3 linked regions of the Rhinolophus ferrumequinum genome follow. The protein of the gene in region 1 purifies or fractionates together with the protein of each later gene. This does not show direct contact. Links are inferred from orthologs where the notes say so. Each region holds a gene or a part of one and is shown on either strand. Other genes may lie near its edges. The genes, in order: NDUFS5, AIFM1 and NDUFAF1.

What was found.
Region 2: the proteins of NDUFS5 (region 1) and AIFM1 purify together in Homo sapiens (affinity purification with mass spectrometry; 3 studies listed by BioGRID and IntAct, with this or other methods). This does not show direct contact. The link is inferred for Rhinolophus ferrumequinum from reciprocal best matches to the Homo sapiens genes NDUFS5 and AIFM1.
Region 3: the proteins of NDUFS5 (region 1) and NDUFAF1 purify together in Homo sapiens (co-immunoprecipitation; 3 studies listed by BioGRID and IntAct, with this or other methods). This does not show direct contact. The link is inferred for Rhinolophus ferrumequinum from reciprocal best matches to the Homo sapiens genes NDUFS5 and NDUFAF1.

The regions. Positions count from the first base shown.
Region 1 is NC_046292.1:27,321,017-27,331,593, forward strand, and holds NDUFS5 (NADH dehydrogenase [ubiquinone] iron-sulfur protein 5), read left to right. Parts: upstream 1-5,213; 5' UTR 5,214-5,371; intron 5,372-6,835; 5' UTR 6,836-6,837; coding exon 6,838-7,053; intron 7,054-9,922; coding exon 9,923-10,027; 3' UTR 10,028-10,145; downstream 10,146-10,577. UniProt on the Homo sapiens protein: Accessory subunit of the mitochondrial membrane respiratory chain NADH dehydrogenase (Complex I), that is believed not to be involved in catalysis. Complex I functions in the transfer of electrons from NADH to the respiratory chain.
Region 2 is NC_046284.1:25,859,645-25,870,972, forward strand, and holds the start of AIFM1 (apoptosis-inducing factor 1, mitochondrial), read left to right. Parts: upstream 1-5,908; 5' UTR 5,909-6,093; coding exon 6,094-6,199; intron 6,200-11,328. Other genes in the region: RAB33A (ras-related protein Rab-33A), read right to left, coding at 468-737. UniProt on the Homo sapiens protein: Functions both as NADH oxidoreductase and as regulator of apoptosis.
Region 3 is NC_046289.1:63,890,536-63,901,496, forward strand, and holds the start of NDUFAF1 (complex I intermediate-associated protein 30, mitochondrial), read left to right. Parts: upstream 1-5,764; 5' UTR 5,765-6,155; intron 6,156-9,318; 5' UTR 9,319-9,489; intron 9,490-10,961. Other genes in the region: RNA polymerase-associated protein RTF1 homolog, read right to left, coding at 5,412-5,606. UniProt on the Homo sapiens protein: As part of the MCIA complex, involved in the assembly of the mitochondrial complex I.

The sequences.
Region 1 (10,577 bases):
GGGGAAACTAATGCAGGGATAAGAAGGGCAAGTACCAAACTGGTGACAAGTTGACCAGTAAAGAGCTGCTTTGTCCAGCCTGTACATTGATTGGAAAGGATGATTAAACATGGCCCTGGCTAAGAAGAGCATGGCCATTGAAGAATCTTTCTAGTTTCAGCTTCCCTCTTCCCATAGGCACACTTTCAAAGATTCTTTTTCTTTTGGTTTGGTTTGTCTTTGCCAATTCAACCCATCACTTTTCATGGTGCTCCTATTGTTCCTCTGCCTGGAATTAAATCCTTTGTCCCTTCAAGGCAGAGTTACCTATTCATTTGATAAATGTGTATTGAGACATACTATTTGCCACATACTGTTGTGGGCTTTAGGACCATACCACTGAGCTGGACAGACAAGGTCCCTGCTCTTGTGGTACTTACATTCTTGTGAGGTAAGACAAGCAAACTAGTAAATAGGTTAATCCAAGATTTAAAAGTACTGTAAAAAAAATTGTAATGATAGGGAGTAACTAGATGCCTAAATTGTAAGAAAGCTTTCTGAGGAGGTGCAGTATTTACACAGTACTTCATATTATGCCTTTCTTAAAAAGCTGTGTAAAGCATTTATATGTCTATATGATTATTCCACTATACTGTGCATCTTCATAGTGGAAGATGATACTATACACAATATTTGAGCTATTATCTGTCTCTCTGTTGGTTCCTAAATGATGAGTGACTAAATGAATTATGTGGCTACTCTTCTCCTTTTCCAGTCATCAGTGCACTACTTGAAACTCTTTCCCTTAACTCTCAGATCAAGTAATTTTAAGGCTTCTGCAAGTTGTCTAACCAGGGTAAGAGAGATGCAGTCCTTACCCTAGAGAAGTTCAAAGTCTATGGGCAGAAATGTGATAAAACTTGCTTTGATAAGTGTTCTGTGCATCTGGAGAGCGAGCGAGCAGGGTGTTTCCTGGGGAAGGCTACTCAGCTGCCCTGGCAGGTTCCCTCCAGGTAGTTTAATTACCCTGATCTGTACTCAGGAAGACTGACTCACTAATAAAGCTATTGACCTATAAAACCAGACTCCAATGTGTTAATGTATGAGAAATGTATCAGCTGCAGTAGACTGCCCCACTGGCCTTAACAGCATGTTCTCTTCATGTAACCGTACCACTTGGGACACCTAATTAAAGTCAAGAGGCACCTCCACGTATCAGAATGAGGGGGGTTAACTGCCACTATGAGCCTGGCACAGCCTTCCTCCCCACTTCAGTTTGCTTCAGTGGTTCCTGGTTCTGTTGCATCTTCAACTTGACATTTCTCCACCTCCAAATGGCACTTTTTGTCTTTTCAGCAACTTTTTTTTTTTTTTTAAGATTTTATTGGGTATGGGGAACAGGACTTTATTGGGGAACATGTGTATTTCCAGGACTTTTTTGTGGGAGTGGGGTGGGGGCGTGTGGGGTGGAATAGTGTGTTTTTCCCAGGACTCATCAGCTCCATCCAAGTCAAGTTGTCCTTTCAATTGTCAAGTTGTTATCCTTTCAATCTTAGTTGTGGAGGGTGCAACTCAGGTCCAGTTGCCATTAGTTGCAGGGGACACAGCCCACCATTCCTTGTGGGAGTCGAACCGGCAACCTTGTTAGTTGAGAGCCTGTGCTCCAATCAACTGAGCCATCCAGGAGCTCAAAGGCAACTAATTGACTTCATTCTAGTTTCAGAGGGCGCAGCTCGCTTGCCTATGTGGGAATCGAACCGGCAGCCCTGTAGCCCAGAGCTTGGGCTCTAACCAACTGAGCCACCCACCCGCCCCCATGTTCTTTTTTTAGTTTAAATGATCACTCTGGTTTCCATTACATTCTAGGCCTTGAGACCCATTACTTTTTCAGGTTACTTTGCTTATTGGCTTTATTGCCTCTGTCTTACAGCTCCAGGCTTGGAGGTGAAGGTTGAGGGAAGTGTCCAAACTTACTGTCTTCCCCAAATGTGCTAGTTTATTAAAATCTATGTGGCAGTGGTGTCAGATACAGGCCTAAAGTTCCCAGTGTGCTAAATTGTAGTAAGAGGTATGCAAACATAAGGAAATCCTATAGGTCAAGGACAGAAGCCCCATGAATGGAGACCTAGGGGGACTTTAGACAGCCTGTGACTGTCCACAACTTGTGCTCACGCAGCCCTTGAGGCTAGTGTTCAGAGGGATGGGAATGGGGGCCTTCAGTTAGGTCTTCCAGCCACCTTGTGCTTTGAAGATGGGAAGATGGCTATTTGGGAAGAACAGCTCACCTAGTCAGGTTCCACCAGGTCTCGGAGCCTCGGTTTTCCCGAATACAGAGTGGAAGAAGCAACAGCTCAGCCTTGCCTCTTAGCGCATAAAGTCCTTTAATTTTGTTGTGAAATCACACTTCCGCAAATCAAAGGATCTGCAAAGTAAAGGTAAACGGGGGTGGGAGGTGCAGAGGGGACAACACGCCCTTAAGGTTGAGAGGTAAGCAAAATCCCAGTGGGCCAATCCTAGTGTGTGCCCCCCCTCCGCCCGTAGTCACTATGGCAACGGCGCAGACTCAGTCTGGCATGGGTCTCTGGGAATTGTTGCCCACTATTTGCGGTAGAGAAAGACCTGTCCCCCACATCCGTCACACCAGTGCTGACATGGGACTCGACGCATGATCGGTGTAGCAACAGAATATAATAGAAACTTACAGGGCGGGCAGGACCTCAAGAAAGCCCTAGTAAATGCCTGTGAAATTCGGGAAGCTTTAACCAGAAAATGTGATAAATAGTCCACGGATTAGACATTCACCTTGGAGACTGTGGGGAGGTGGCAGCGAACTGGCGGGATCATTCCAGGCAGAAAAACCTGCACCTACAGAGTTTGGAAGCATGAGAGCAATTCTGGATGGCTGAGAACACACGGAGGTTAAATAGGGACTGGTAAGCAATGGGATCTAAGGATTCAGAAATGGGCAGAAATCAGATTATGAAGGGTCTTGAATTCCAAACCCAAGAACGGGGACCTTTCCTTGGATACACTGACACCTTACACACAACCTGAGCAGTATAAATGACCCCCTTCTTTGTGTTTTCCCTTGTTTTGTTCGTCTGTATTTTATCACTTCCAACAGTATTCTGACTGTGTCTTCATCGCCAAGGGTCATGGAGTGTGATAAAAACTGAGTGTTTTTGGAATGATCAGATGTGAGTTTTAGAAAAGCAACCCGCAACAATAGAGTGGGTAAGAAGGGAGCAAGGCTGGATGTAAAAAGCCATCAGAGTTCACAGTAAATTGCTTCCCCTACCTCCAATTTTCCTTCCATCCAAGGGTTGAAATTGGGCAGCTCAAAGGCCGTTTCCAATGTGGGTTTTGTTTGGCCAGCACTTTTCAAAAAATTAGTTGCGTCACATTTTAAAAGTGGGAGGTCTCACATTTAAACAGTAACAAAAGATTTCTGGCTTCTTTTGAAAAATCTGAAGATTTGACACTTTGGGGCCCTGATTCTGTCAACAGTAATAGTATGGAGCTGAGTAGCTGCTGCTGCCTTCGAGGACATATGCCCATTTTATCACATTCCCCACCACTCCTTCCATCCATCAAACTGATGCCAAGTACCAGTTGCCATTTATCATGGTGCTTTTGTTTTCATTTCCTTATAGTGAGCTCTGTTTGGCCTTTGGAGGCATCTGAGTGGCCCATCTTTGTACTTACCTATCCTGCCTGGTATCTGAGGAGTGATACAATGAAATTAGTATTTTAGGAAGATTAGTTAGTGCAAACCAGACTGAAGTGAGGAGCTGGGAGGCAGAAAGGAAATAAATTAGAAACTGTTGAAGGAATATTTGAGAGAACTTGGTCAGTAAATATTGGATGAAAGATGAGGAAAAGGTAAAATACAACTTCACCGAGTTTCCTGCCTGAATGGCTGGGAAGATGGTACCTCGAACATAAGCAAGAAAGTGGGAGAAGTGCAAAGGGTGGTTGTGATCAATACCTTGCTACCTCTAGTATTTTGTGGGCTAGGGCCTTGAGTTAGCAATTCCATAAGCCTCCAGTGTTCTGCTGGACATGCATTAGATGCTCAGGAAATTCTAGTTGAACTGAAACTTATCAAAGGTGGGGTATATCTAACGGAGAACGGAAGAGAAAATTGGAATGCTTGAGCGAAATCAGTAAGTTGTGGGACCTTAGAAATACTCTTCAGAGTGGGTGATTCTGGGACTTCGGGGGCAGTTAACCCCTTTGGGCCAAACCTATGCAGATAATTTGGCAGGCAAAAATGGAGATAGGGTTGAAATGGTGTGGTTCCCTGGGAAAGGAATTAAAAAATCAAAGAGACTGGATGGCAGGACTTTTCTTGGAATACATTGGAACAAGCTCTTGTTTGGGCATTAGTCGGGATTTTGGACAGTGAGCCTGGGAAGTTGGAAGAGTGGACTTCTCTAAACGTTTTTGAGAGCACATCACTTAAAAGGAAAATAAATTTTCATCCCAAACCTCAAATAAATATTTATTAAATACAACTGCGGTGATGTTATGTACTTTATAAACCACACAAAAAGTAGAAATTAAGATTGGATAAAAAATAGAAATATTCTAGTATTTTCTTCCCATATGCCCAGTGTGTATTGTCACACCCAATGGTGCGCGCGCGCGCGCGCGCGCGCGCACACACACACACACACACCACTTGGCCCCGCTGTAGTCAAAGGGAAGCACTGGAGGTGCTGAAACAGGAGGGTCACTTTAACCAATCCGCAAACTGTTGAAGCTGAGACATCAAAGTACGGCCACTGCCTCATGCTTTCCACATTCCAGGAACCGTCTTGGTGCTTTACACATAACATTTAATCCCCAAAAGCAACCTTCGGCTGTAGGTACTATTATTATCTTTTAAAATCTTAAGATGAGGAAACTGAGGCACAGTGAGGTTAAACTTTCCCAGGATCACCCAGAAGTGGCGAAGCCATAATTTGAACCCACCCGGCGTGGGTCCACAGTCCATGAGATTAACCACTACTGGAGGGGCGGGGGGGACACTTTTTTCTCTCGTATGGACTTGGTCACGTCCTTCATGAATCAAAGTTGTGAGAGTGCTAGGTACAGTGCGAGGAGGCAACAGGAACTCACTAACGGCTAGGCCGCCTCTAACGCGGAGAAGAAGGTCAGTTTATCTACGGTCAATACTCCAGAGGTCAGCGCACACAGTCGCGCAAGCGCAGACCGATGGGTTTAGTTCCCTATGGTTTCCGGGGCGAGGCGGCAAAAGGAAGGTCTACTCCCGGCGTCGCGCTGCAAGTGTCGCGCTGCGGGCGTCCTTTGCGGCAAGTCTCCGTGTCGCAAGCAGATCATCCAGTAGCGGCGGCCGGCGAGGAGACTAGGGCACCGCGGCTGGACGGTAAGGCTTGCGTTTGTCCGCGGGGCAATGCAGCTTAAGGAGCTTCCTTCCGAGATTTCTTTAACAAATTTCCTCTTGGATTGCTGGGCGTCCGTTCTCCCCGGCCCGAACTCTGGCCGTGTTTTCCGTTTTCCCAGGCCCCTTTGCCCACACAGCCAATGTCACCGAAGCCTGTAGACCGCACCTTTCTCGGTTCTCTTTCCAGGCTAATTTCGATTTCTGCCAGTCTAATGCTTTGGCCTTCTGTTACTTAACCTGAAGCCCACGCTCCTTAACCCGGCTTTCAAGGCCCTGCGTGATTTCGGCCCTGCCCACAGCTTCAGCTCATTTCGTTCTTCTCGACATGCACTCTGCGCTCCAGCCAAGTCTGGGTCATTATTCCCCAAACGTACCCAGCACCTCCTGCTGTAACTCGTGCTGTGCCCTACTGGGCAAATACTTTGCTTACTAGGCAAATTTAAGCCATCTTAAAAGGCATTTTCAAGTTTCCTGGGCAGAGTTGGTGTTTCCTCCTTTGAGCTCTTAAACCCCGTCGTGTTCCTTCCTTCGGGTTCCTAATTCGCTGTGTATCTTTATTCCGGTACTTTGCAACTGCTTCTTTCTCTCCATTCCAGTGCCAGGAACGTTATTACTCAGTAAATGACTGAACGAATGGTAGAAAGTTTAAAAGTGAAATTCACCTGTAAATCTACCATTCATACGTAATTATTGGCATTTTTTGTGTGCTTCCTCCCAGTCTTTTGCAGTTTTTCTTTACTTTTGTAGTCCTTTTCTTCATGTGACATTAAAAATGTATATTATCCTTTTACCCCAATAGCTGTCATATTCTACAAAGTAGGTACTGGATTTAACTATCCATTGTTGCACGTTTAAGTTGTTTGAAATTAATATTTTTCAATAATTACTGAATCCCTACCTGGTCCCTGCCCTCACATTGTTCAGTGTGGGAAACATTCAAGTAAATAGTCCATTACAGTGGAGTGCGAAATACTCCCATGGGAAGTTGAGAATGATGTGCTAACATACAGGAGGGATGACTTCTCAGGAGAGGTGTCATCTAAGTGATATGGATAGAAATATGGAAAGAAATGTTTCTGTGCTTATGCTATTTTTGTTCTTTTCAGTTATTTCTTCAGATCTGTCTCTAAGAATTGGTATTATTGAGTCAAAACATAAACGTTCTTTTTGACTTTTGATAAAAATGACTTTATCAGTATAGAGAGGATTTTTATGCATTGTTTTTAAGTTCTGGTTCTCTTTTCCTTGGGTTTTGTGAAAGCACAAAATTGTTCCTCTACCATAAACTGGAAGAAGCTGTCTAATGAAAAAGTTTGGTGAGAAGAAATTCGGAGAATAATGTAAAATATCTTTCTAGAGGGCAAATTATAATCATCTCATTTTTTCTTGGAAATTTCTTATTTGACTGCACTTTTATGACATTATCTTTCTTATTTTCCATTTCAGCCATGCCTTTCTTTGATATACAGAAAAGGCTGGGTGTTGACTTAGACCGCTGGATGACAATCCAGAGTGCTGAGCAGCCACACAAGCTTTCATCTCGGTGCCATGCTTTTGAAAAAGAATGGATAGAATGTTCACATGGAATTGGTGTTATCCGCGCAGAGAAAGAGTGCAAGTTAGAGTATGATGATTTTGTAGAATGTCTGCTTCGGCAGAAAACGGTGAGGAAGTGATGGAGATGGGAGCTGAATTACTTCCTTATTTCTTTGGGGCTACTTTTCAGTGTTTTTAGTTGGTCATTGGGCAGTGACTTGCCCAATGTGAATTGGCAAGACTTGTGGTAAAACACCTCTAAGTAGGTACCTTGTCAAGGAAGTTAAGTGCCTTTAGTTGTGAGGAGAACCTGTTGTTGCTCAGTGTTCTTCCTCATCTTCTCACATATTTTCCTTAGCATTGTACCTTGCTTTAGCCATCAGGCAAGAAATTACATATGTGTGTCTGTTTCTGTTTTTGCAGTCGGCCATAAAGCAAAAAATATCAACCAGTGTGGGATGTTTGTCCTTGAAAATCTTTGGGTAAAAATCTTTCAGAGTCATTGAACCCTTTTGAGGAAGACATTAAAACCCTACAGGTCTATTTACATTGAACCTGACATAACAATCTTAGTTATTAATGAGATTAGATTGCCTTAGGCGAGTCTAACCAAAAATGCAGGGGGAAGAGAATGTTAAGAGCATGGTGTCTACCTCTTCAAGAGTTGAGTGAGTTGTCTAACATATGGGGCCCTATTCTCCCTTAGAGAAGTCATTTTTGGGTGTGGGGTGTCGTTTTGCCTGTTTCTCTGCACCAGAAAAACAAATAGAAATGTTTTTATTACTCCTAATTCCTTGGAGTTAAGGGAGACAATTTAGATTATCAGTTAAATTTATCACAAAGTTATCTATATCAAAATTTAAAATTTCTTATCTTTTAACATCTGCTCTTGGCATTTGGATAAAGTGAAGCCAAACTTGGAAGGAAGGAGAGGGTGCCAGGTAATACTTTTGTATTGATTGCTACTGGAATATTGACCATTAAGTGAGTAATATAGTATAATGTATCTCATAGGACAAGTCGGTCATGGCTGGCCACCTACCGGCTATTTAGTCCACGACATGTTTTAACTTCTCTTCTTGTGAGCCCGTTATTCCTTGCTCAGATTAAGACTTTACTCATGATGGGAAATTCACACCAAGAGGAGGCAGTGTGGTGAGGTGGAAAGAACTTTGGATTGGGAGTTAGGAGAGCTGGCTTTTGATGCCAGTTTTGCCACTACTAGTTTTGCGACTTTGGACAAATCACTTCTTTGTCTTGGTTTCCTTATTTGGAAATATTAAGGAGTTGTTCCAAGGTCGTTTCCTCATCCTGTGAGGAGGCAGTGTGGTGAGGTGGAAAGAACTTTGGATTGGGAGTTAGGAGAGCTGGCTTTTGATGCCAGTTTTGCCACTACTAGTTTTGCGACTTTGGACAAATCACTTCTTTGTCTTGGTTTCCTTATTTGGAAATATTAAGGAGTTGTTCCAAGGTCGTTTCCTCATCCTGTGAATTTATGAATAGAAATGTTACTGTTTTAGAGGTCACTCTAAATGACTAGATAATTCTCCATCGGTGAAGAAGCTAGTGAAATCGGGGAATTAGAATCAACCGCCACTCTAAGTGCCTAGCATGTAATAATGTATTTATTTCTCACAACAATCCTGTGAGATATTTTACTATTATTTTCCCCATATACAACTATTATAAAAACTTAAGGCAAGGAAAAATTAATGCCATTGCCTAAGGTCTTCTAGCTAGTAAGTGGTGGAACTGGGATTTGAACCTGGCAATGCTGGCTCCAGAGCCTGTGCATATATACCTATAATGTAACATTAAGTGGTGATTAGTTCTAGTTTGGAGAAAGATTTGATATATGGTGTTGTGATATCTCAACCATGACTATTCCTCTGTTGGGAAACTTTTTAATAGAGAAAAGTTAAGAATGCAGTCTTTTAAAAATAGTAAATGTTTATGTTAGTATTTAGGATATCTGGAGTTTTTTCTTCGGAAGTTATATCCTAATTCTTTAAGGTTAATGGAATATTTAACTGAATACACTAGCTCTTCATGTTTTTGTGAAAACTTAGTCATTCACTAAAAAAAAATGTTAATTGAATCACCTATTATTATCAGGAACTATTCTAGGTACCAGGAGTATACCAGTAAGAAAAACAGCAAAAAGTTCCTGCCCTGATGGAATTTATATGGGTGTAGGGTGGGGTGCAGAAAATTAACAAACAGGTTAAAAAATAGTGTGTCAGATGTTGACAAGTGCAATGGGGAAAAGCAACAGGAAAAGGATAGGAAGTACGGGGCGTGGGAGCTAAGTAGATGCTCTTTTAAATAGGGTGGTCAAAGAAGACAAGCGACAACACATTTGAGCAGAGACTTAAGACCCGGTCTTATATAAGACCCGGTCTTATTTTATTATAAGTATGTTATTATACTATATATAAGACCGGGTCTTATATAATATAATGTAATATAAGACCGGGTCTTATATTAATTTTTGCTCCAAAAGTCGCATTAAAGTTGGTTGTCTGGCTAGGTCTTATTTTCGCGGAGACACGGTATTTCAGTGAGATAAAAGAGACCTTACATTGGCTATTTCTGCTTCATTCATACTATTGAACAGTCACGAGGAATATATACGCTGTGAGATGATCTCAGCTTTTAATATTTTCAAAGATTTTAGTATGCACAAGTATGCATCTTAAAGGTTTTTAACCTGTATCTTTTTGTTACTGTTTTTGTAAATACTTGTATTCTTATATATAATTGGAACATTTTAGTTATTACATTTCAAGGAGATATTATATACACCAGAAATTTATTTGTTAAAAGCTTAGGAAGTGATTTCAAGTTAATTCTTTAAAGACGGCCTTCATCTCAGAGGCCCGCTAAGATGAAAAGCTTCTACAGTTTAAAAATGAAAGCGGTTTCCCTTCAGTTCCTCCAGCCCTCACTTTCTGGTGCATATCTCCCCCTAGTTAAAATACTTTTCTCCTTTGGCAGATGAAACGTCTTAGTGCCATCATGAGGCAGCGGGATAAGCTAATAAAGGAGGGGAAGTATACGCCTCCCCCCCACCACCAGGGCAAGGAGGATCCCAGGCCCTGAACAGAGGAGTTGCTGATGGCTGGAGGCTGATTTCACATCTGGTCTTCTCCACTGGAAAAGTAATGTACGGACAAACTCTTTGTGAAAGTGTCTGACAATAAAGGATTGTTCCATCCTATTTGTTCTATGTTCTCTTGTATCATGCTTTTCTATAATGAGATTGCAACTTATTTTTTAAGTTTGGAAAAAGGCCTGTACCTAAGCCTTAAAAATTAGCATCTAGGGAATAATAAGCAGCATTTAATGAATGCTTAATGTATATGAGGTACTTTAAATATGGGAACTCATTTAAGAAGGTGCAGTATTTTTAATGCTTTGCTTTTGGTTTATTTTCCATAAAGCACAGACTTGGGCTGGGAGGGAGAGGCAGCAAAGAGATTGTGTGTGTTTATTATAAGGTCTGTGAAATCGAAAGCTAAAAAATGCCAAGTTTGGGTAATTTAATTTTGAAGAAGCAATGCCATTGTTTCAATTTGCTATCTTACGTCAGTGGTACAATAGTACTTCTAGTTCATATGTTTAGAAACATTTTTAAAAGAAAAATCCAGAT
Region 2 (11,328 bases), on another chromosome or scaffold:
ATTCTCTGTGGATTTCCATTCTTTCCTCCCCTGTAATGTCTCAGGGCTTAACCAAAGTGGGTTTTTGCACCCTATTGGCACCCAAGAGGAAGAAGAGACCTCAAGATGTGTAAAGTGCTTTGGGATCCACCCCACAGAGCAGGACCAGGTTACCTCATACCTCCCTCTGCCCACAGGTGCCGCTGCTCCTGGCTCAGGGTCAAGGATGGGATCTCACATGCTTTTCCTGGCAGGAGCTGTCAGGCAGGGACAGAGGGCATGAATGCACCCTCTCCGGCCTGCCCTAAAAAAAAACGGGCAAGGTGGGAACCAGGCCGCTGAGAAAGGCGAAAGAGGATGAGGAGGTGCTGAGGGTCTAGGGCTCAGCAAGCAGCGACGCAGCCACGAACCTGACCAGACCGTTCACAACCACTAGAGCATGCGTCAGGCGAGGACCCCTCCCAGAGCCCTCCCTTCCCGGACCTGACCGTCTGGATCACCTTGATCTTCTCGCCCTCGATTTCTACGGTCTTCTCCCTGAAGTCCACACCGATGGTGGCCTCAGTCTTGTCCGGGAAGGTCCCCCCACAGAAGCGGAAGGTCAGGCAGGTCTTGCCCACGTTGGAGTCACCAATAACGATGATTTTGAAGATGCGAATCTGCACGTACTGGTCCAGCGACGAGTCAAGCTCCAGGGATGCCAGGCTAGCTGCCGAGGTGGGCTGCAGGCTCCCATGGCCCAGGATGGGCTGCGCCATCTCCCAGGGACCGGACCGGGGCCCCAACCCTCCTGGTGGGCTCCACACAAAGAAAACGGCCACGTTAGTGCGCTCCAGGCGAGCGAGCTTTGTGCGTGTGTGTGCGTGTCCGTGAGTGTGTCCGCGCGTGTGTGCGTGCGCCGTCCCCGTGCGCGCGCGCGCGCGTGGGGTGCCTTTCACCCCAGGTCCCCCTCCTCCTCTTCCTCCTCCTCCTCCTCCTCCAGTGCACCCTCCTCGCAGCTCGGAGGCACCAACACAAAAGCCAGTCAGGGGAGGAGAGATGGAAGAGAGACTGCAAGGCACGAGCCCTCTCCTTCAGCCTTGCCCTCGGAGGGGCGGGTGGGGCGTGCGACCCCGCCTCCACCGCTGCAGCTGCCGTGGCGCCTTGGCCTAGACCCTCCCCTGTCTGGACCCCAGGGACACACCACAAAGAGGAAGCTTACAGAGGAAAGGAGGGTGGGGAGAGCGGCACACACCACCCCGGGATGGTCCTCCTTTCTCCATGACCCCATTTATTTTATAGATCTCAGGCTCCCCACCCCCATTTTCTCGGAGCGCACGGGGGTCCGCTCTGGAGCATTTCAGCCTCGGAGCAACACCACTTTACTCGGCGGGGACTGGGTGCGGGGAGGAGACACCTCCAGAGCTGCAGGCAGCTGAGCTGAGCCTCTGCAGCTTCCTCCCAAGCCTTGGGATAAAGGGATGCTCTGTTTTATTGAGGAAGCAGGTGCACTCGCGCGCGCGAGGAGCCAGGGAGGGCGCCGCCAATACACGCTGCAGGGCACCGGTGTGCATGTGTAGGGGGAGTTACTGTTTCTCTCACAGACTTGCCAGATGTGTGTGTGGGGGGGTGCGTGCCAGGCGCCAACCTTCCCTCATCACACCAGGAACACCCATCTTCTGAATGTTCAGAAGAGCGGCTCCCATTGGCTGCGGCAGTCAGTTGTGTTTGACTGGCCAATGGGGAAGGCCGGCCACCGGAGGGAGCCATACAGGGGGTAGGAGAAGCGGGGAAGCTAGTGGTGGCAGCTCCAGCAAAAGGGGACTTTGTTTCTGGGGCTAACCATTCCAAGCCCAGGTGGAGGGCTCTTGGGACAAGGCATAAATCTCACAGCGTCTTGCATTCCAGAGCCCTCCATGTAATCATAAGTCCTTCCAGAATGGTGGAGTTTCAAAAGGAATTGGAAACCCCTAGGAGGGTTCACCCCTCTGCAACTGAATGTAGAACAAAGTGGTTGGGTCTAATTTGTTAAAAGCCTAAATTATGCTTGGAAAATGATAAATGAACAGAACTTTCTTCTGGTAGTGGGGAGCAGCTTCCCCAAGCTTATTAAGCATCACACATCTTGGTCAAGACCAGTATTCCCTTTCCCAAATGTGATTTGCAGGTTCACAATTTCTTTAAAATAACTTGACTGAGGTACAATTTCCACACAATAAAGTGCACCACTTTCGTGTTTGCTTTAAGACTTGAACCATCCTTCCACATATTTCATAGGCTAAGGTAATATTAACATATGCCAGTAGCACTGACATGAGTTATTTGCTAATGTCATCAAGGTCAGGGACTCCAGCAAGACACATGAGCTGCCATCTTACTTGTGTGGGGCTCAGCTGCAGAAGAGACAAACATAACTAAATCCATTCCCACTGTGAGAAAAACAATTCAGTGCATCAGTGATAGGTCTGTAAACAAAGTGGAATATGACTGCTCAGCCCAGTCCAAGTTACTCAGAATGGCTGGGGAAATGGGGTCTTCTAGTTATACAGTGTTTCCCCGAAAATAAGACCTACTCGGACAATCAGCTCTAATGTGTCTTTTGGAGCAAAAATTAACATAAGACCTATTTTAATTTTTGCTCCAAAGGACGCATTAGAGCTGATTGTCTGACTAAGTCTTATTTTCGGGGAAACAGGGTAAGCTTTTTAGTTGAGTTAGCAGATATATTTATAGCTAACTCTTTTAGCATATATGTGGGTTACCCATTTCTAAAACCCTAGATCATGCTATTCAATATTAAAACCATCTCAAGAAGGATTTAATCTTAGTTGGATAATCCAAGGTCATCATTATGAATACCAATTATCATTATACAGTGGGAATGGCAATCACCATTGTACAGTATTTTTGTTTTTTATGATTGGTTGATGTCTAGATAATAGTTTGCAGCATCATTGTCGTCTGTATTTGAAGCTAATGCTCCTGGTAATCATTATCTACAGAAGAGCAGCTATTAAAAGGGGGGCAGGTAACTATGAATTAGGCATATCCAACAGGTAGAGCGGAAAGAAGCTTTGCCAATTTATAGCCAGACTTAATGCTAACTTTCTAATATAAAAAAACTATATTCACATAAGATTATTTAGATGTACTAGGTTTACAATTAAGTTTGTGAACTTATTGCAACGATGTTGCTAACATTTTTTTATTTTATTTATGAATACATTATGAATTTGTACCAGCTGGACAGTTAACCAAGTTTACTATCGGGAAGTGCTGAAAAGGCTGCGTGAAAAAGTTAGACAACCTGAACTTTTCGCCAACAACTCAAGGCTCTTACATCACCACAATGCACCAGCTCACAGCACACTGTCTATGAGGGAGTTTTTAGCTAGTAAACAAATCACTGTATTGGAACACCCTCTCTACTTACCTGATCTGGCCCCCAATGACTACTTTTTTTACCCAAAGATAAAGGAAATATGGAAAGGAAGACATTTTGATGACATTCAGGACATCAAGGGTAATACGAGGACAGCTCTGATGGCCATTCTAGAAAATGAGTTCCAAAATTGCTTTGAAGGGTGGACTAGACGCTGGTGTCGGGTGCATAGCTTCCCACGGGGAGTACTTCGAAGGTGACCATAGTGATATTCAGCAATGAGGTATGTAGCACTTTTTCTAGGATGAGTTCGCGAACTTAATTGTCAGACCGCATATGCTTCCAGCAAAAAACTCATCACTGAGTCTGAGAGTTCACATTATATTTGTAAGATAGAAACACTAATTTCTGGAGACTTGATATCTCAAAGTGGGCCCCATTTCCTAATAAAAAGTGTTTGTTACCTCTGTGGGATGAGATTTTGGGGAACTTCCACTTATATTTTTGGAGTTAGTTTTTGATGTGTGTATATTGCTTTTACAAAAAAAGATGAAATATAATTTTTAATTAAAAGGACAAGAAATCTACCTCATTGCACCTATTGCAAAAATAAGTTAAAAGTGCTGTACAATGCCTTTTCTTTGTTAATTGTGCATCATTAAATGCACAATTGACTGTCTTTCAAATTTACCCAGTTGTTTTCATAGGTACCTTATCATCATAATTTTGACAGTGTTTTCCAAAGCCTCATCCACCAACAGATATGATTAACTTTTTATTTAATCAATCCATGTTTATTATTGGCTTTTAGAAATAGCAAGAAATATCAACATCTGTGAAACTTTTAAAATACTAAATATAAATATTTTTTTTACCTTATTGTGGAATTGACATTTTCAATATTTATTCCCCAATGCAGCCCTAGGGGAAAAGTTGCCCACTGCCTGCACTTCTGAACATTACTCTTAATGAGCAAGGGATCCCTGGATCATTTTCACCGAGTAAAGACTGCTTTCTGGGTTAAACTTCCTGAAATGCCTTAGTAATTTCGTTCTCTATCCCTATTCTACTGAAAGCCAAAAATAATGTCATCACCTACACGATTGCGGCCAAACACTTTGGCTAGTTCAAATCTGGCTCCACCATATTAACCTGTCCTCATTTACTTCCTAGTATGTACTCTCTGCCATTGTCTCCTGAAAATGAGCTGGGTTTTGTTTCTTTTATACTTCCAAGCCTTTTGATTTAAACAGCATGGTGCTTCCTCTAAGATGCTTTATTTATGAATATTAGCTCATTTAATTTTCTTATCAACCCTGTGAGATTGGTAGATGAGGAAAGTGAGACACCGTTAAGTGACTTGTCCAAGTGGCAGAGCCAGGATTCAACCTGGGGCAGACTGGATCCAAAATCAATGGTGTTTAATCACTAAAAATATTACCTTCGGTCCCAATGTATTCACCATCTGAAATATCATTTCTCCTCCTCCATTATTTGAATTTCACTACTCATCCTTCAAGACAGGCTCAAGTAATACTTCTTGCTTGAAGTCCTTCCTTAGCTATTTCATCTCATATTCTTTTTTCTTGCTCTTGCACTACATCAGATATTATTATTTAAAATGACCAGTGTATGTCATCTCCCCACCTGGACAGTGACCACTTCCTATATTTTTCGTATCCCCTAGAGCTCTTTTCATATAGTCCAAATGGCAAGTGCTCAATAAATACTTGTTAAGTGAGTATGTAAACCAAAACTTTGAAAAAGGCATATGTTATGTTTTGCATACAGCCAAAATTTATTTCCAATTTAGCTTATATTTGATAGCCAAAACCCCTATTTACACTCAGCCCCGCACCCTACTCCTCCCACAACTCTGAAAGTCCTGCTTAGGCTTTCTCTCGCAGAAAGTCTGTGAAGCACGAACGCTTTTTGCCAGCACCTGCTCTCAAAAAACGAAGTCATAATAAAATAGCAAGAGACTATCCACAGCATCTGATACAGCACTTAGGACTCAGAATTACACAATATAAAAGCGGTATGGGAAAAGAGAGCGCGGAATGAAGACATGCCCCAGAATAGTGGTAAAGTGCCCAGAATAGGGGTTGGATGGGAAGGCAATTTGTAAAAGACGGAAGTCCAATCCGAATCTGGAAAGCCAGGAGCCCCGGCTCAAATCTATGGAAAGACTGGAAGTGGACTACAGCTAGAGAGAGAATCCGGAAGGCTTAGTACTTAGTAGTAGCTAGTGGCCTAAAACAGAAAAACAAAATTTGGTGCTGAGGCCACGCTTTTTGAGGTGCTATTAATATCAGTTCCCAACATCGACACAGCGGCAGCACTCGCCACAAACAGCCAGGCAAATCAGCCCCACGGGTCCCTCCTTGGACAGCTTTTCAAAGTCGCTGAGCCGAACATACTGCCACCAACCCGTGAAAACTAACAAGCAAGCCCAGGGACTTTGCAAGGGTGCAGGAAGCTAGGCGCATGCGCAAATCTTCTCTCCGTGTGGGCCAATCACAATGTGGCGCTGAGTACTACGCCTGCGCAGTAGGCCTCCGGTCGCGCTTCCTTTTCCTCTGCACTAGTAGGCCGGCTTAACTGTCCAATGCCCACGCCAAGCTGGGAGGAGGAGCCTTCGTAGAGTGCGTGTGACGGGAGCAGGGGAAGCGGCCGGGGGCCCACGGCGTTTGACCCGTGTGTCGGTGCGTGAGAAGAAAGGAAGGAGGAGGTACGGAGTAGCGGTTGCCGAAATGTTCCGGTGTGGAGGCCTGGCGACGGGTGCTTTGAAGCAGAGGCTGGCACCCTTGGTGCGGACAGTGTGCGTGCCAGGCCCGAGGCAGAGGAACCGGCTCCCAGGTGACTGACCCATCCGGGACAACCCCCACCTCGAAGACCAAGGGTCTGGGCTGCACAGGCTCCGTATGCCTCGCAGCTCACACCCCCCCCCCCCAAGAAAAGCTTAAGACACAGTGGTGAGAATTTTGAGTTGGCCAGATCCAAACCATGAGTTTTCCAAGCCGTGCTGACCTGACCTTCAAGGGAATTGAACCCTGTAGTCGGCTTGAGGCCTTTTCCTGAGAGGGTTTGCTGTTCAGGGATAACAGAACAGCTGGCTGTCTAGTAGTGTCCATTGCCACCTCCAGGTCACCCCAGGTCCGCCTTTTTCAATCAATGAGGTTAGGTGGACTTGCCATTTACCGGTTGTGAGACTTTAAATGGGACACTTAAGCCCCACGCTTTAGTTTATTCTGTAAATAAGGGGTATTACTTGCCCTACCTTCCAATCCCCAGATGAGATCCATAGATTTGAGGACCCTGTGAATGCCCCGGGAAACAGAAACAGTGAAGTGCAAGTAAGGAGTCAATTGGTTGTGCACCAGTCACCAGGAGAACTGACCCAGAATTAATTTGGGATGTCTGGTCAGTTTTAATCTTAGTGGTCTTTAATACTTCAAATAAACAGTTTGCAGAACACATTGTATTTGCTCTCCATGAAGTTGTTTCATCAAATTTTAGAGCTGGAAGTAGTTTTGCAGTAAAGTTCAACCCATTCAGTTTATAGGTAATAAACTGAGGCAGAGAGGTGAAATTACTTGTCCACAGTCATGTACCTAATTAATAGGTATGGCAAAGGATAATTTGCCAGTCTTTATGCCCCTAATCCAATTGCCACAACTCCACACTGCTTCCTAAAGTTTGATCTCGAAAGGTTAAGAATGAGTCTGGTTCCTCTTTAGCCTATTGCTCATCAGATATCTGAATTTATCTTGAGCATGCTCATTTTCAACCTGCACAACTTCATGGGGGTAAGGAATTATCCACCCGAAGGAGGTGTGTTTTTTTGTGTTTTTGTTTGTTTGTTTGTTTTTAAATCAGTAATGTTTGACCACCCGAGGACACTCACATTTTCAGTGTCAGAAGTTATCCTTGAGGCCTTTACAATGTGGAACCACCTTCTGGGTGCTTTAAAAATGAAAAAGTGGAAAACATTTCACTTAGATTGTTACCTTTGAAAACGTGCATTTGAACAGTTTTTCCAGTTACTGTGCCTCAAGAAAATGTTTTCTGATGGGTGTATTGGAGGTATGTCCTAAGACATATTGCTCTTGGAACTTAAAAACCTCTGCCTTACCTTTTAAACGAATACCCCGTCTATAACGTCATCTGTGTGGGCTTTGTGCAATGAAATGAGGGTGCTCTATGCACGTTGCACAGAAATTTACATAGAAACTTAGGTAAGCTGAAGATTTTCATCCACACTGACCTTTCAAACTTTGTGTACTTATTTTGCTTAAAACTCACAACTTGTACCAGCATTCTGAAATCTGACCGAAAGTTCTCATCAATTAAATTTGGATTTCCAAAGTTAAATTGATTTGTTAGACATTTGAAGGTGGTTGGTGATATTGGAACTAGTACTGAAAAATTACAGACTCAAAACAGGTTTTTTCCATTACATGACTTTGTACGAAGGTAGTCTGCTGTAGAGTATATTCTGACTTCTTGACCTCTCTTTTCATCCCTTTATATACACTTATTTTTTGTCCTTTGGCCAAGCACCAGAGTATAACATCACATGCCTTTAGAAGTAGGTGGGACTGAGGTAACAATTTCAAAAAGAAATGATTCTATCATTTTAGGAATTTACCCCGTTTTGCAGCTTGATTACTAATTGCTTTTAATCTGATTTCTTTTTCACATAATCACATCTACCATATGTTTTTGCATTGTTTGTTTATATACCATTTCCCTCCTTTTTTTCTTCTTCCCCCTCAATTCTTTGCCAGAATGTTAGCTGACTTTAAACCTACCTTGAAATGATCTCATCCACATCTGTCATCACTGTCAGGTTCATTTCCATAATACCGTGTTTCCCCCAAAATAAGAACTAGCCGGACAATCAGCTCTAATGTGTCTTTTGGAGTAAAAATTAATATAAGACTCAGTCTTATTTTACTATAATATAAGACCGGTTCTCATCTAACATAATATAAGACCGGATCTTACCTAACATAAGACTGGGCCTTATATTAATTTTTGCTCCAAAAGACGCATGAGAGCTGATTGTCCAGCTAGGTCTTATTTTCGAGGAAACATGGTATGTTGCCTTTTGCTTTTAAACCATAATTGCTACTATTTGTTTATTTACTGTATTTCGATGCTCTGCCTCTTTCCAGAAATAGTTGAAGGTAATTAATAGTCACCACTTTATGTCTGCATTCAGCACTGAGGAACAGATAGGTTAGGTAATAGGTATTTTCTGTTCTGTAGTATTTTATTTGGTCACCAAACATCGTGCTGCCCATGTGATCAAGCTGATCACTGACCCCTGACCTGAGGGTCAAATGTTGGAACATTTTTCTCGATTCAAAATCCTTCTCACCTCCTTAAATAGGAAATAGGAAATGGGACTACTTGTGGGCAAAGATCCAGAATTCATGGACACTGCCAAATGACGCTTTTTCTTTCTTTTTTTTTTTTTTTTTTTTTAAAAAGCCAAGAAGATTAGCCTTTCCCCACTCTTTCTGCTGAGGCAAACTTTTCCAGAAGAAAATTTTTAGCAAGTCAGCCTTTTCTAGACCAGTTAATGTTATATATTTTTTTTTTTTTTTTACCATTTTACGGGAGTTGCTGCATATTGTAACTTTCTTCTAGATCATGTTTCCAAAAGTTGCCTGGTCATATAAATCGAGTGGAGGGCCTCCCCCAAACCTACTGAATGAGAATCTCCAAGACAGAGATCTGGGAATTTATATGTTTTTATATTTTAACAAGCCCCTTGATGTAGTTCATGTGATCAGGCAAGTTTGGGAAATACTGTTTTGAATGAATAATGACTCTTTTGCTTCTGTTCCACTGACCTAAGGATTAAAAAAACAAATTGAGTGACCTTGAGTCTCTTATGATTTGTATTGAGCCCATTTTCTGATACTCAGAATAGTGGCAGCCATTCTCCCCTCCTAAACTATACACTACCTGGGAACAGAGATTATGCCCTATTTATTTTTGTGTCCTCAGTGTTTTGCACAGTCTCTGGCACATGGTAAATTCTCAGTGACTGAGTCCTTGTACTGTACAGGACTGAACTTTGCAGAACAGTTAAATTTATTTTTTTCATCATCTAAATCGTTTTTCCTCTGGTGCCTTTTTTCACAGTGGTTCACACTCTACTACAGTTATTACTGCTCTGATTCTCTAAAATTCCAGCAAGGGTTGATACAAAAGAAAAAAAAAAGGCTGGTAAAGCTTAGTAGTTGTTGGATTCCTTATAAAGAGGTACCTAGCTACAGTGAACAGATCATCTAGGCTTGTTCTGTCCTGTATTTTATCCATGTCAGAAAAATCAGTTTGGCATTCAGAAGACAAGACTTAAGAACATGTAGACCACTTACCATTTGAGCAACCGAGGTGCCTCAATTGTGTGGATGTATTTCTGGAAAAGGCCTTCTGGGAACATGGGAAAACAAGAGATTATAAAATCTACAGAAAAGAACTTGGTGATGATTTAGGTACTATTCTAATGCTAGTCTGTGGTATTCGAGGTTACTGATTTAGTGTTAAGCAACCTGAAATAAATGGGAGCTGGCTAAAACTTTGCAAAGAATTCTTCAAAATGTTTGGTCATTATCACTACAATTGGAAAGAATTTTTAGTTCCTTCTTTCCTTCATTAATTCAACAAACATCTATTGAGTGGATACCTACTATGTGTTAGGCACTGTTGCTCTGTGTAACAATTCTTGACAAGTCAAGAATTGAATCCTTGCACAATACATATAGTGAATATAGACAACAGTATTGTATTATAATCATCAGATTTGCTAAGAGACTAGATCTTAATTATTCCAACCACTGAAAGGAAATGATAATGTGACATGATAGAGGCGCTAATTACCACTACAATGACAATCATAATATGAAAATGTATCAAATAAAAAAAAGAGTTGAATCCTAAGTGTGAGGAAGAAAGTGCTATCTCTGTATGTGTGATCTAACTGCAGAAAACCCAAAACAAGTAGACTGGTGCTATAATGACAAGTCAAGGAGTAGGTTGGCTTTCCCAAGTTAGTAAGACAAGTGAAAAGGCATGGTTTAGTTGTGATGTAGAATTTCCTAAAATTTTGAAGCTCCTGGGGTGGGGAGAGATGTAGGAGTAATTTTATGGGTAAAAGAAAATTGATGGGAAATATCAACATCCATACAGTACCTATCACCTTTTACAAAATTAAAGTCACTTTGTGGGTATGTAAAAAGTTGGTTTATTAATGATAATAGTGTTGTATTACATTTCTTATCCAGCAATATTTTAGATGATAACCAATTTACTTTTTAAAAAAAAAATAATTTACTTTTTTTAAAAAAAATAATTTACTTTTAAATGTCCTTTTTGGGGGCATGTTGAGGCAAAAACTGCTGAACTTACCCAAATCTATACTGTTAGTTTTATCAGTTTATAAAAAGCAAGCAAAAACTGAATAAACACATTAGTATTATATTAAAATAAAGTTGCTATGATTTCTGGATTTAGGATCTTCTAGAGGGATAAACAAAATTAAAAAAAATCATTTTCAGTAAACAAACTTGGGGTGAGGTGGGGGGCAAAACTAAATTCATTGAACTAAACCATGTGGAATTTTTTCTACCCAGTTTCATTTTCTAAGCTCTGAGAGTTGTCAATTTCTACTTCTGATGTTTCATCATTTTTATGGACTTCTGAAAATCAGAAGCTTGCCCAGGTTGAGATAAGCTTCTCCACCTTTACACATGTTTTTATTTTCATGATTTGGTGTTTCCAAATATAAACCATTTTATTTCACAAGGTGATGAAGGATTCTAAAACAGGTAAGAAATAAAACTAGTAGAGAAAAATTCATTTTTGACTCTAAGAGTATAGATCCATAGTCTCTTACCTATAATTTAGAAATCAAAATAGACTAAAAATCAAGTTTTTGTAACTCATTTGCTGGTAAAACCTGACCTGAACTG
Region 3 (10,961 bases), on another chromosome or scaffold:
GTGATCCTTTTGTGACCAGGCTAGAAAACTTGGTAAGCAGCGTTTGCTAAGTAGCATCTGCTTATTCAACAAAGATTTATTAAGTGCCTACTGTGTGTCAGGCATGCATTATTTTCAACTACCTACCTGATGTCGCCACTTGGATTATCTCACAGACAACTTTAAACTCTACACATCTAATACTGAACTCAAGATTGTCACCTTTAAACCTGACCTTCCTCGAGGGCTCCCTCTTTCACGCCAGAACCTCCTCATCCTCACCCCAACTCCAATCAGTCATCAAGTCCTCTCAGTTATATATCCTGAATATTATGTCCAAATCTACTTTCTGTTGTCTCTGTAACTACCATACCGATTCACGTCAGGCATTCATTCAGCAAATACTGTGTGCTGCATGCCAGGCACGGTTCTAGGTGCAGAGATAGTACGGTGAACAAACAGCCCTTCCCTTCTGGAGCTTCCAATCTAGTGGAGCTTATGCTGTCAACCTTCTCTCACCTGGACTCTTCTATCCATCCGCCACCTAACTGGTGTCCCCCTCCAGATTACTACCCACATAGCAGCCTGAGCAAACTTGTTAAAAGGCAAATCTTAACACCTCTTCCAGCTCAAAATCCTTCAATGGTTTCTCATTGCTCTCGGAATGAAGTCTAAAGTCCTTACAATTGCCAACATGGCCCTGCCTGTGGTTCTGAACCTTTTAACCTCCGGAGACAGTAAGCTCAATTATACCTCATGACTCAGTGTACATGTACATGCATATACATGAAACACCAATTTCACAAAACAATACTTACTATGAGGTCTGACACACTTGATGCTTTCTATTTGATTCAATTTCATTTCTATTTTTAATGCTGGCTGTGATCCACTAAACTCAAAGGGTCCAAACAGACTACTTCTGCAGCTTCATTTGCACCACTCTCTCTCCAATTAGTTATATTTTCATCACTGCTTCTTTCAGTTTCATGCGGGTGCTAAGTCCTTCCTGCCTCAATATTTCTGTACATGCTGGTCCCTCAACCATGAACACTCAACACTTCCCTGGACTCTTCGATCTCTGGCTCTCCTTTTCCCTGACACGTATTCCATGTCTCAGTTCACATGTCACTCCCAAAGGCTCGTATATAATAGGATGCCACACTCAGTATCCTGGCTCTTCCTTCACACAGTCTGTAGTGAAATGACCCTCTGAGCAATGCTGGCCCCTGCTCCGCCCTCCTCTCATGCCCCTCCTTTATTTCCCTCTAAACTCCCTGAAGGTGGAAACTGTTTCTACTTTGTTCACAGGAGCCCTAGTGCCTGGCACTGTGTAACACATTTGTTGGAAGAGAAACAATCTCTGCCCTTGGGGAACTTACAGTCTAGGAGGGGAGCAGTAAGTACACCAACAGAACTGGTGTCAGAAGATGGGTTTTGAATTTTTCCTAAGAGATTCTCTGTTAAAGCTCCCCTGAGACTCAATCTTCTCGGCACTATTTTCAAAGAAAAGTTGAGTGAAATTACCAAGTGAGTTACATCAAGTTAGATGAAACATTATGACACAAACTAAAAACTTCACAAGCCAACCCTGATATTTCTCACAAGTTCGCCCTAAACTTTACTGTAAAAAAGACTGTGTTAATGAGAAACACAATTTTAAATTTCCCAACTTGAATGGGGAAGGTTTATGGAAGGATACTTTGTAACAATGATACTTTTTTACATGTAATATCTAAAAATAATTCCTAAAAAGTACTTAGGGGGCCTATTCTCTCAAAGATAAATTTAACCATTGCCACTTCAAGTAGGATGAGCAGAGAAAAACAGGACATGACAACATAAGCATCATTTAAAATAAGAAAAGAAATAAACTCAAGTAATCCAATATGTATGTAGCTCAATTTTTTTCCTTGAAAAAGGCAGAGTAAAGTTTTCATAAATACTGAACTTTATCACTCTGAATAGAGAACTCTGATTCCTTTATTATCTTGGATGCTTTTCATTTTCTAGAACCCACTGCATAAATATTATTTCATAAAGAGTGACACATATTATCTCCATGGAGGCACATGATGGGGTAAAAAGCCTAGGTTTCCCTCAAATTCTGTTTTGTTTTTTTCCAAGAGGTGCCAAAGGCAAGTATCTTCATGATTTGCAATTTTAAAATGTTGAAGAAAGGGTGTGGCCAACATAAAAAGTAAAGTCACTATCAGGTCACATGTTAAAAGAAATTCTTCGAATTCTCAAAGGTTTGAGCTTTTAAAAGCACCGAAAGTTAAAACAGATTTTAAACAACTCTGATTTAGTTACTACATACCTCTTCCCATCAAGAAGCAAGGCAAAAAAAAAATACAAAAAACAGGCCTCAATAAAAAGCATCCAACAATTCAAACAGCTTCAGAGATCTAGAAGAACCACCAGCTTTGCCACCTTAAACATCTCTGTTAATTTCTTTCAGTTATACCTGCACACACTTCAAGACACGAAGTTATTTCTCTCCCAAACTACTTAAGAGTGTCCTGCTAAAAAGATCAGCATCAGAGGTGGTCTCAAGCATTAACATAATAAGTACCTGGGCTGTACCTGGTAAAAATGCAGAGTCCAGGGCTCTATCCCCTGAGGATCTGATTCAGTAGGTCTGGGATGGGAGCCCCTGCAAAGTACATTTTAAATAAGCAACCCAGGTAGCTTCTCACACAGGTGGCCCTCCTCCCACCACCAGAAAAAAACCACTGTAGAAGACTCACCTGCCTCACCTTCAGCAAGGACTAAGTTGATGATAATACTTCTGACATAATGGCTTAGATTCCCATCGGGAAAACCCAGGGATAAAGGACCTCCTATGTTCCACTCTCACCCTAGACACTCAGAGAGTTGTCATGGTTTGTTCTTTTCCCCAAGTACAATACACTAGACAACAAATACGATGCTATAATCCCAAATGAAGACCTAGAACTAGATGGAGCAGTCCAAGGCACCTTGGTCAGGAAAGGCCCAGAATGCATTCGTTTTGTTCTCAGGATTCTTAAAGACCCCCAAAGCAGGCTGACTGAACTTCTGCTAAAGATTTCTAGTGAAAACTTCTAGAGGGCAGAGATTTTTCTCTGATTCCTCTGACAGCCTGGCACAGTGTTGAACAGACAGGTAGATTGAAGGCACTCTGTTAAGATGTGCAGGGAAAGAGAATTTTGATCTGGTTCCCATCTGATAAAAGAATGACAATGAGTGGTTGAAGAGGAGGAAGTTGAAATTGCTGTTAAAATGTATTAGGTATTACTTACACATTTCATGCTAATTTCTTTTTACAAATAGAGTTGGGTTTAAAGTTGCAATCCCCTCCAATTCTTAACTTTGGAAAAGCTCTTTGTGGATCTCTCTACCACAAAAGGAAGCTCTCAACTCATTTCATTTGTCAGAATTCTGTGGAAAATCACTAAGGACAGAATAATCTGCTTATTTCATTCATCATCAGAACCGACATCTTGACAGTGCTTTACCAAGAAAGCCCCCCAAATAATCTTTATAATTGATGTACCAATTTTCTCTAAACTATTCAATGTACTTTACAAACATGAATTCTAGCAACACGGAAAATGGCCATAATACACATTCTCATTTTGCAATATGAAAAAGTAAAAGACTAACAGATTAATTGGAAAGAGTACATACGCCTTGTTGTTGTGCAGATTTGGGTTCAAATTCCAACTCTACCAATTACAAGTTGTGTAAATTTGATAAGTTACTTCTTCAATCTCCATTTTCCTCATATATAAAATGGGGAAAATCATACTTAACTTCATAATTTGAAAACTTGACAATTTAAATAAAGCACCTAATTAAGTGACTAGTTCACCCTAGGCACTATGTAAATTGTAGCCGATGTCATTATCGGAAATAACTACATTTCTAGATCAGAAAATAGTCAAAAACAAAAAAGTTCTAATTCTCCTAAGTGTCAGTCTAAAATTATCAACCAAACTTTTACAGTCAAGAATATATATTTTTTATATTTTTGCAAATTTCAAGAGCCTTTCATTGAGAATATTTTTAACTTACCTTTCAATCGTATCCCCAAACAAGATTTCTATCCCTTTGATACTTCTCCAAAGGCCCCATGACTTCCCCACCCCATACCATCATTTTCAAAATAACCCTCTTCAACACACCTCCAGCCCCTCCTCTTAAAGTCCTCCCCTTCCATGCCCCAATATTTTAGTCTTAAGACCTCTGGCCTAATACAAATGACGCCCAGGAAGCCACTACACAAAAGCTTTATTTGCAACTGCTTGTACCAACATTCTTACGTACAAATACTTGATCCTAACGATAGCACAATTATTGATAGATATACAAGGCTAATGTTATACCTAGATTTTACAGTTACGACCAAAGATATAGCTAGAAAACAGCATAGCCCATCCTAAAACTCAAATTTTCAGATTCCAAGTTCAGTACTCTCCCTACGCAACTTACAAAGCTACTACTCTTGTATATTCTTTGTATCATTTGTTCACAAAACACAGGGGAAAACCCTTTTTTGCATCACTAGAGCATTACTACAAAGACAGCTTCCTCCCTACAGTGCTTTTCTAGAGTATATAAACAGTTCAAGCAACCCCCCCAGGACATTGAGACCAAAAGTTACTTTCTACACTTCCTGCACAATCTTCAAGTAAGAAAGAATTCTGGGATGCTGCATGAAAACGGCTAAGAGATCTTAGTCTCAGTCCTTCCATATCGCCCTATGTACTGCTCCACTTCTGACCTCTTTCCTTCTTCTAAGAGTTTTCTTCAGTCTGATATCTCATCAGGGACCCTTCTCAACCACGAACGACCCTAGTTGCCAAAAAGATTCGTGCCCGCAGCTAAGTCTTCCTCGCTAAGCACCGCAGAGGGTCTCCGGAACATTTACGAATGCCCCTCCTCTCCGTCCACACTCCTTGTCTGAAAAACTTCATCTTCCAGAGTCCGCACCTTCTCGTCACCTACCCCCCCCAAACCCCAAAGCCCCACGCTCACCCCTTGCACCTCCTCCAAAACCTCCCAGCCTCTCAGGTTGGCCGGCGATACTTCCTACCTTTCCCGGCCCGGATCGTTTGGCCTGCAGCCCGCCGCACCAATCTGGTCCCGGTAGATGACGGACCCTTCCGATCCCCCGAACCCGAACCCGAGGCCCACCAGCCAGGTCCCTGCCCCGCCTCCCCGCCCAAGGCGCCAAGTCCTCGGGGCTCAATCTCCAGGCCCCGGCGGGACTCCATGGGTCCCGGGAGATGCAGGGAGGATAGGAAGGAGGCAGCAGCGGCGGTCAGGGAACGGGGCTGGCTAGGCACTCGGGTCGGGAGGCCCCGGGCCCGGCCGGCTCCCGGTTCCCGTGGCCCGGACTCAGCCCTCCCGCTCCGCCGGCCCGCGCCTCCGCGGCCTGCCCTCACCTGATCCAGGTTCTCGTCGCTGCCGCTGTCCTCCGTATCGGAGTCGATCACCACGCGGCCTTTCCGCTTCTTCACCATGGTGGTCCCCCGGCTCCCACGCCGGACGCCGCCCGGACTCCCCTCTAGCCCGCCTGCCAGTGGGACCGCCACTGCCGCCGCCACCGCCGCTCGACCCACACAAAGGCGACCGCGCATGCGCGGTCCGCTCCGCCCCTGGCCCCGCCCCCTCCCGGCGCACGCCGTTCGCTGGCGCTCGGCGCCCCGCCCTGCTCCGCCCCCGACGCAGCGTGGGAGGCGGGGCCCAGCACCGGGCTGGGTTCCCGGTAGCGGACCACTTTCTCTTTCCCCGCGAGGGCCTCTGGAAGGCTTGGGTGTGTCTCTGCTGCGGGGCCGAAGCTTAGTGGGCTGCCTACCTATGTCTTGGACTGGAGACGTAAGCATCCGGGTCCGCTCTGAGGAGCTTTTCAACTGTCCGATACTGATGGAGTGTGGAGGACGACGAGAGCTGCCCTCCTGGAAGACACAAGTCGCCTAGACCGCCCCAAGGGATGGAGGATGGGAGAAGCTTTCGTATCTCGGTGGTGCAAGTGACAACTGAGCTGGGACTTGAAGAATGCATCTGAGTTACCCAAAAGAAAAGTAAAGGGAAAGTTGTACCAAGCAGAAAACCGCGTGGGCAAAGGCCCAGCGATAAAAGTTGGGTTCAGGGAACTGAAAGTTCATTATGGCGGAACAGATGACATGGTGTGTGGGGATAAGGCTGCGGAGGGACACGGTGGCCACATCATTCAGAGCCTAATAAGCTATATTAGAAAGTATTGAGAGATTTAAAACTGAAGAACATAATTAGATTTGTGTTTTAAAAAGATTACTCTGCCTGTAGTGTGGCAAACGCATTAGAAGGGGGGAAGACTAAGGGCAGGGAGACCATTGAGGCTGTTGGTGTCATTTTAACAAGAGATGATGGTGTCCTGAACTAAGGAAGAAGCAGTGGAAATAGAAGTGGATGGATAATTCGGAATGTAGAATTACCAGGACTTGGAGATTAGTTGGGAGAGGGATAAGGTGAGCTCCCAGACACAAATGACACTCAGATTCTGCCATAGGAAGCTGGTGGTCAGTGGGCCCTTGGCTGAGACAAAGAACACAGGTGGAGGAGAGGTTTAGGAAGTGGATGTATGTGGGAAATAAGTTCAGTTTTATGCCTGTTGAGCTTGAGGTCAGCTCATAAAAAGGGCAGCTCCAGAAGTGATTTCTCTCTGGGATTTGGAATACAGGGTAGAGAGCATAAGCAATAACAACTTGAAACTGTTCTCAAAACTTTGGAGTCCATTAATTCTTTATTCTGGTAATGAACTTGGGAGTTAGACCCCAGTCTCTCCTAGGCATTACTGGGCACAGGCGGGCTGATCTCAAATCAGGCCCAGAGTTCTTGGTCTCTGGCTCCTTTTTTCTTTTCCCCCTTTACTGTGTAAATTATATTTTCTCCAGCAGGTTTACAATACATATCACAAATGTGCATGCCTTAAAATAGTAATAAAAGAAAATATCGCATCATACATAGAGAAACTCCTGGGGAAATAAATACATACCTAGGTATCCAGTTCGCTACCAGTTATCTTGAATAGGTGTTCATCATTCAGGTAGAAAAAACAACCTAAATAAGGCGCAGCTATCTTTTTACTCCAAAGGAGTTTTCCTAAGATATAACCCCTAGACTTCTCTCCCAAAACAATATCCTTGGAACTGAGAACATGGCCAAGATGATCCAAAACGACCAGGCCAGCTCCCCCATTTCTAGCCACCCTGAAGCCGGGTGCCCTTCTGTGAGGCAGGGTCCTCCTTTTGATGACCTGATTATCTCTATTAATTGGTTCAGAGTCTGAAAACTGGGTCAGATCTGAGAGTGGACAAAGGATGATCACTTTTTATTGGGGCAACTGCCCTCAGCCCCCTGATCAGCCAACTTTGATTTCTCCTGATTCAAAGTTGGAGAGCACCCTTGGCTATCCATCTATTTTGTCCTTGGGGATGCTATGTTCTGTTAACCATCTCCATAATTCTCTGAGGGTCAGGCCTCCTTGGTTGTCTTTCTGAGCTCTCCACTCATAATAATTGCATCTACCTGGCTTCTGGCAGTTAAGTGCTGCCACCTGACCGCCTGTGTCAAGGTCCTGTCACCCCATGACTGTGGTTAGCTGAGTTTTGTAACAACTTCTACTGTCAGTCCTGTCCTACATAGGAGAACCACTACTGAACTTTCAGGGATGCCTGTGCACCTTTTACCTTCACATTCCTGATGGCCTTGGTAAATGGAATATCCTGTTGGTCTTCCCATGGAACAATCATTTGGGGGGATTTCTGATCTTATATAGTAGATCCACTTTGTACTTCTCAGCTTTTCAATCCCGTCCTACACCATGTGCTTTGGCAACTCTGGCTTTTTTTTTTTTTTAACTTCATGTGGGCTGTAGAGTTTTCCATGCTTTAAGAGTCATTCTAGTAGCAAATCTGCACCATTTCCTGGGTCCTCAGCAGAGTGATAATTTCTGTGGCCCAGGAGAGTGCTCCCAATCAATAAACACTCCTTAATCCAATTTTACAATTTGGTCCCCTTAATTAAGCACTCTCAGAATCCAGTGTTTTGCTACTCTTCCAGCTTTTGCTATTATGTGCTTAGCTAGTTCTTGCAGCACCTTTAGGGTATAGTCCCTTTCCTCCCTTATCAGGTTCAATCTGTCCCCCACTGGGTTATGTAATGTTTTAATACTAGTTATTGGCCTATCCAGGAGGGAGGTAAAGGCAGATGCGGTCTTATTTGGTACAGGCCTCTGCACTGTCTAATAGCAAGATGGGAGAGCTGCATGGTGAGCCATTTCTGCAGGTTCAGAGGGCTCAGGAGGGTGATCATTCAAGATCTTCAGTGGCATCAATCATAACCCCAACCCAAATGTCTGTCTGGTCCCATTATTTCCCAACTAGGGCCTTGGCTTAGATGACCTGCCTGGCTTGGAAGTAAAACCTTATTAGAGCTCAGACTATTCTGATCATTGTCCAGGGCCTCAGTTTCCCCTGCCATCCCACTGCAGGTGTTGAAGCCCTCTTCATATGCAATTAAGGAGGCCCTCCGGCTTTCATACTTGGCTTTCAGTAACAGTCAGCCAATTCTACTATCATAGTTCCTATGCCCCACCCCCATATTTTTAAAATACCATCCCACCAGCTGGTACCTTCCTTTCCACCAGCATACTATCCCTATTCACCAACAATGCAATATTTAACAACTGGACCATCAGATCTTCATTGCTAGCTGTGTGCTGGGTAACCCAGCTTCTAAACATTATTTTATTACCTCCTTTCTCAGACCACTCTTGTGGCAGGTTGGGTGCTCCAAGAAGCAGACTCTGAGATGGAGTTTAGTGTGCAGAATGCTTATCAGGGAGTGTCCATGGGGTTGACAACTGTGGAAGGGAGAGATAGTGCATACCTGACTACAGAGTCAACTGATCACGTGGGTACTCTGAAGCTAAAATAGATGGTCAGAGTTGTCCCACATTTGGGCTGAAATGGCCAGGCCTTTATAGCCCACATATTGGTGGGGGATGGATTGGGGTTTACCTGCCTGGAGTCCACTAAGATGAGTCAAAGGAAAAGAATATGTCTGTGTCCAGATATTTATTAAAGTGTCATTAAAAATATCTGGCCTCAACACTGCAGATAGAAATATCCCCAAATATGGGTATACAATTCATTTTGTTTAATGGAAAATCTGCTTGAACACTGCCAGCTCTAAGTAGTTGACCCTCATTACTTCCTAGTCTGGATTGCAGGGTGGGCTTCCCCATCAGGAGGGACTGTCCTGGATAAATGGCCTTGGATCTCAAATCAGGCCCATTTTCTCTTGTAGGTGAATGAATGGTCATTCTGGTTTGTCATGTCTCCTCCTGTAAAGTTGCTTGGCATGAATGAATCTGAGTAATCCTCTGAGTAAAACAGATACAATCAAGTTACTGGACTGACAGCAGAGAACTAACCCTGGATCTATAGTGACACCACCATGACCCCAAATTCCCATGAGGTAATTTCCTTTTCTGAAACCATTTATTTCCTTTGCCAGGATCATACCCTGATCATCCTTAAACTCTGAAGGGACTCCATCAAGATATGAAACTGCTGAATCATATTAGCTTCTTGCCTGAACTATTACAATATTCTTTGCTGGCCTGTATCACTACAGCCCTACCTAAAAGTTTGCATGAAATTGTCCTTTGTTCGGACTCTGGAGGCAGTCCCCATTCTGTGTCTAAATTTGTGCAGGTTATTGTAGAACGTATGTAGTTTAAAGGATATAATAAAATCAGTACCTTCAAGGTTTTTATCTTCCTGTTGAAGAGAAAAAGGCTTGTACACACAAAATGACGAATGAGCAGTTTAGTCATGTTTATAATCTAGTTTTCATTTGAACATAATTTAGTGTCAGTGTATAGCATAAAGAATAGATACTGGCTGTCAGAAGGAGAGTATCATTTGAGATGGATGTATTAGGGAAAGCTTTTAAGGAGAACATGGGATTTAAGGTGTGTTCTGAATAGGTGCAGTCAATGTATCAATTAGGACCTATTGGTTGCAAGTGATATAAACCCAACACAGGTTAATTGAGGAAAAAGGAATTTATTAGTGCTTGCAAGTTGAGGAAAGACTAAATAGCCAAGCCATAGAAAGACAATAGATGTTCCTGGGCCTCAGGAACAACTAGAATTGGTAATATAAAGGCTCACTTAACCTTCTTTTATCCTCCTATTCCTGGCTCTCAGAACCTTTATTTTATCTTGCCTCAAACCGGTTTTCTTCACTATATTAGTAGGTAGCCCAGGAGCTCCACAAGAGCCACCAGGGTTAAAAACGCTCTTTTCCCATTATAGTTCGGAAAATCCCTCGTGCAGACCAAGTGCAGACCAAGTGCTTACCACTGAACCAATCAGTTGAACTGGGGAGAGTCATGTAAACACCTGAGATCAAACTTTTGGGATGCAGAAGAGGGAGGAATGATGAACAGAGAAAATATTAATACTATTTTTGAGGAGGAATGAGTAAGGTTTAGGCAGATAGCAACTTGGATGAGAAATTGAGGATAAGTATGAGTATTATAGATGGAGTAGGAGATTATGGAGGGTTTAGAATTTATATACTCGCATGTCTGGAGGCCAAAGGAATATGGTATTTAGCTCTGGGTGCCATATTTGAAAAATGAAAATAGACAAACTGTTCTGTCCAAAGTAAGGCAGTTAATAGATTGAATGTAAATTATAGAAGGGCAATAACTACTTGGGTTTCACTGGGTTTGGAAAGAAGGAGCAGAAGATCAAAGACAGCAAAGAGAGCTCAGTAAGATTTAGGGTTGTTGAGAGGAGGGCTTAAGAAGAGAAGCCAAAGATAGCCAATGATTTCCAGCTTAGAAGAACGTGGGCTTTTACAGAAACAGGGAAGATAAAAGGAGGAGTTAATATGGGTAAATATGATAGTTCAGTTTTAGACATACAGAATTTGAGA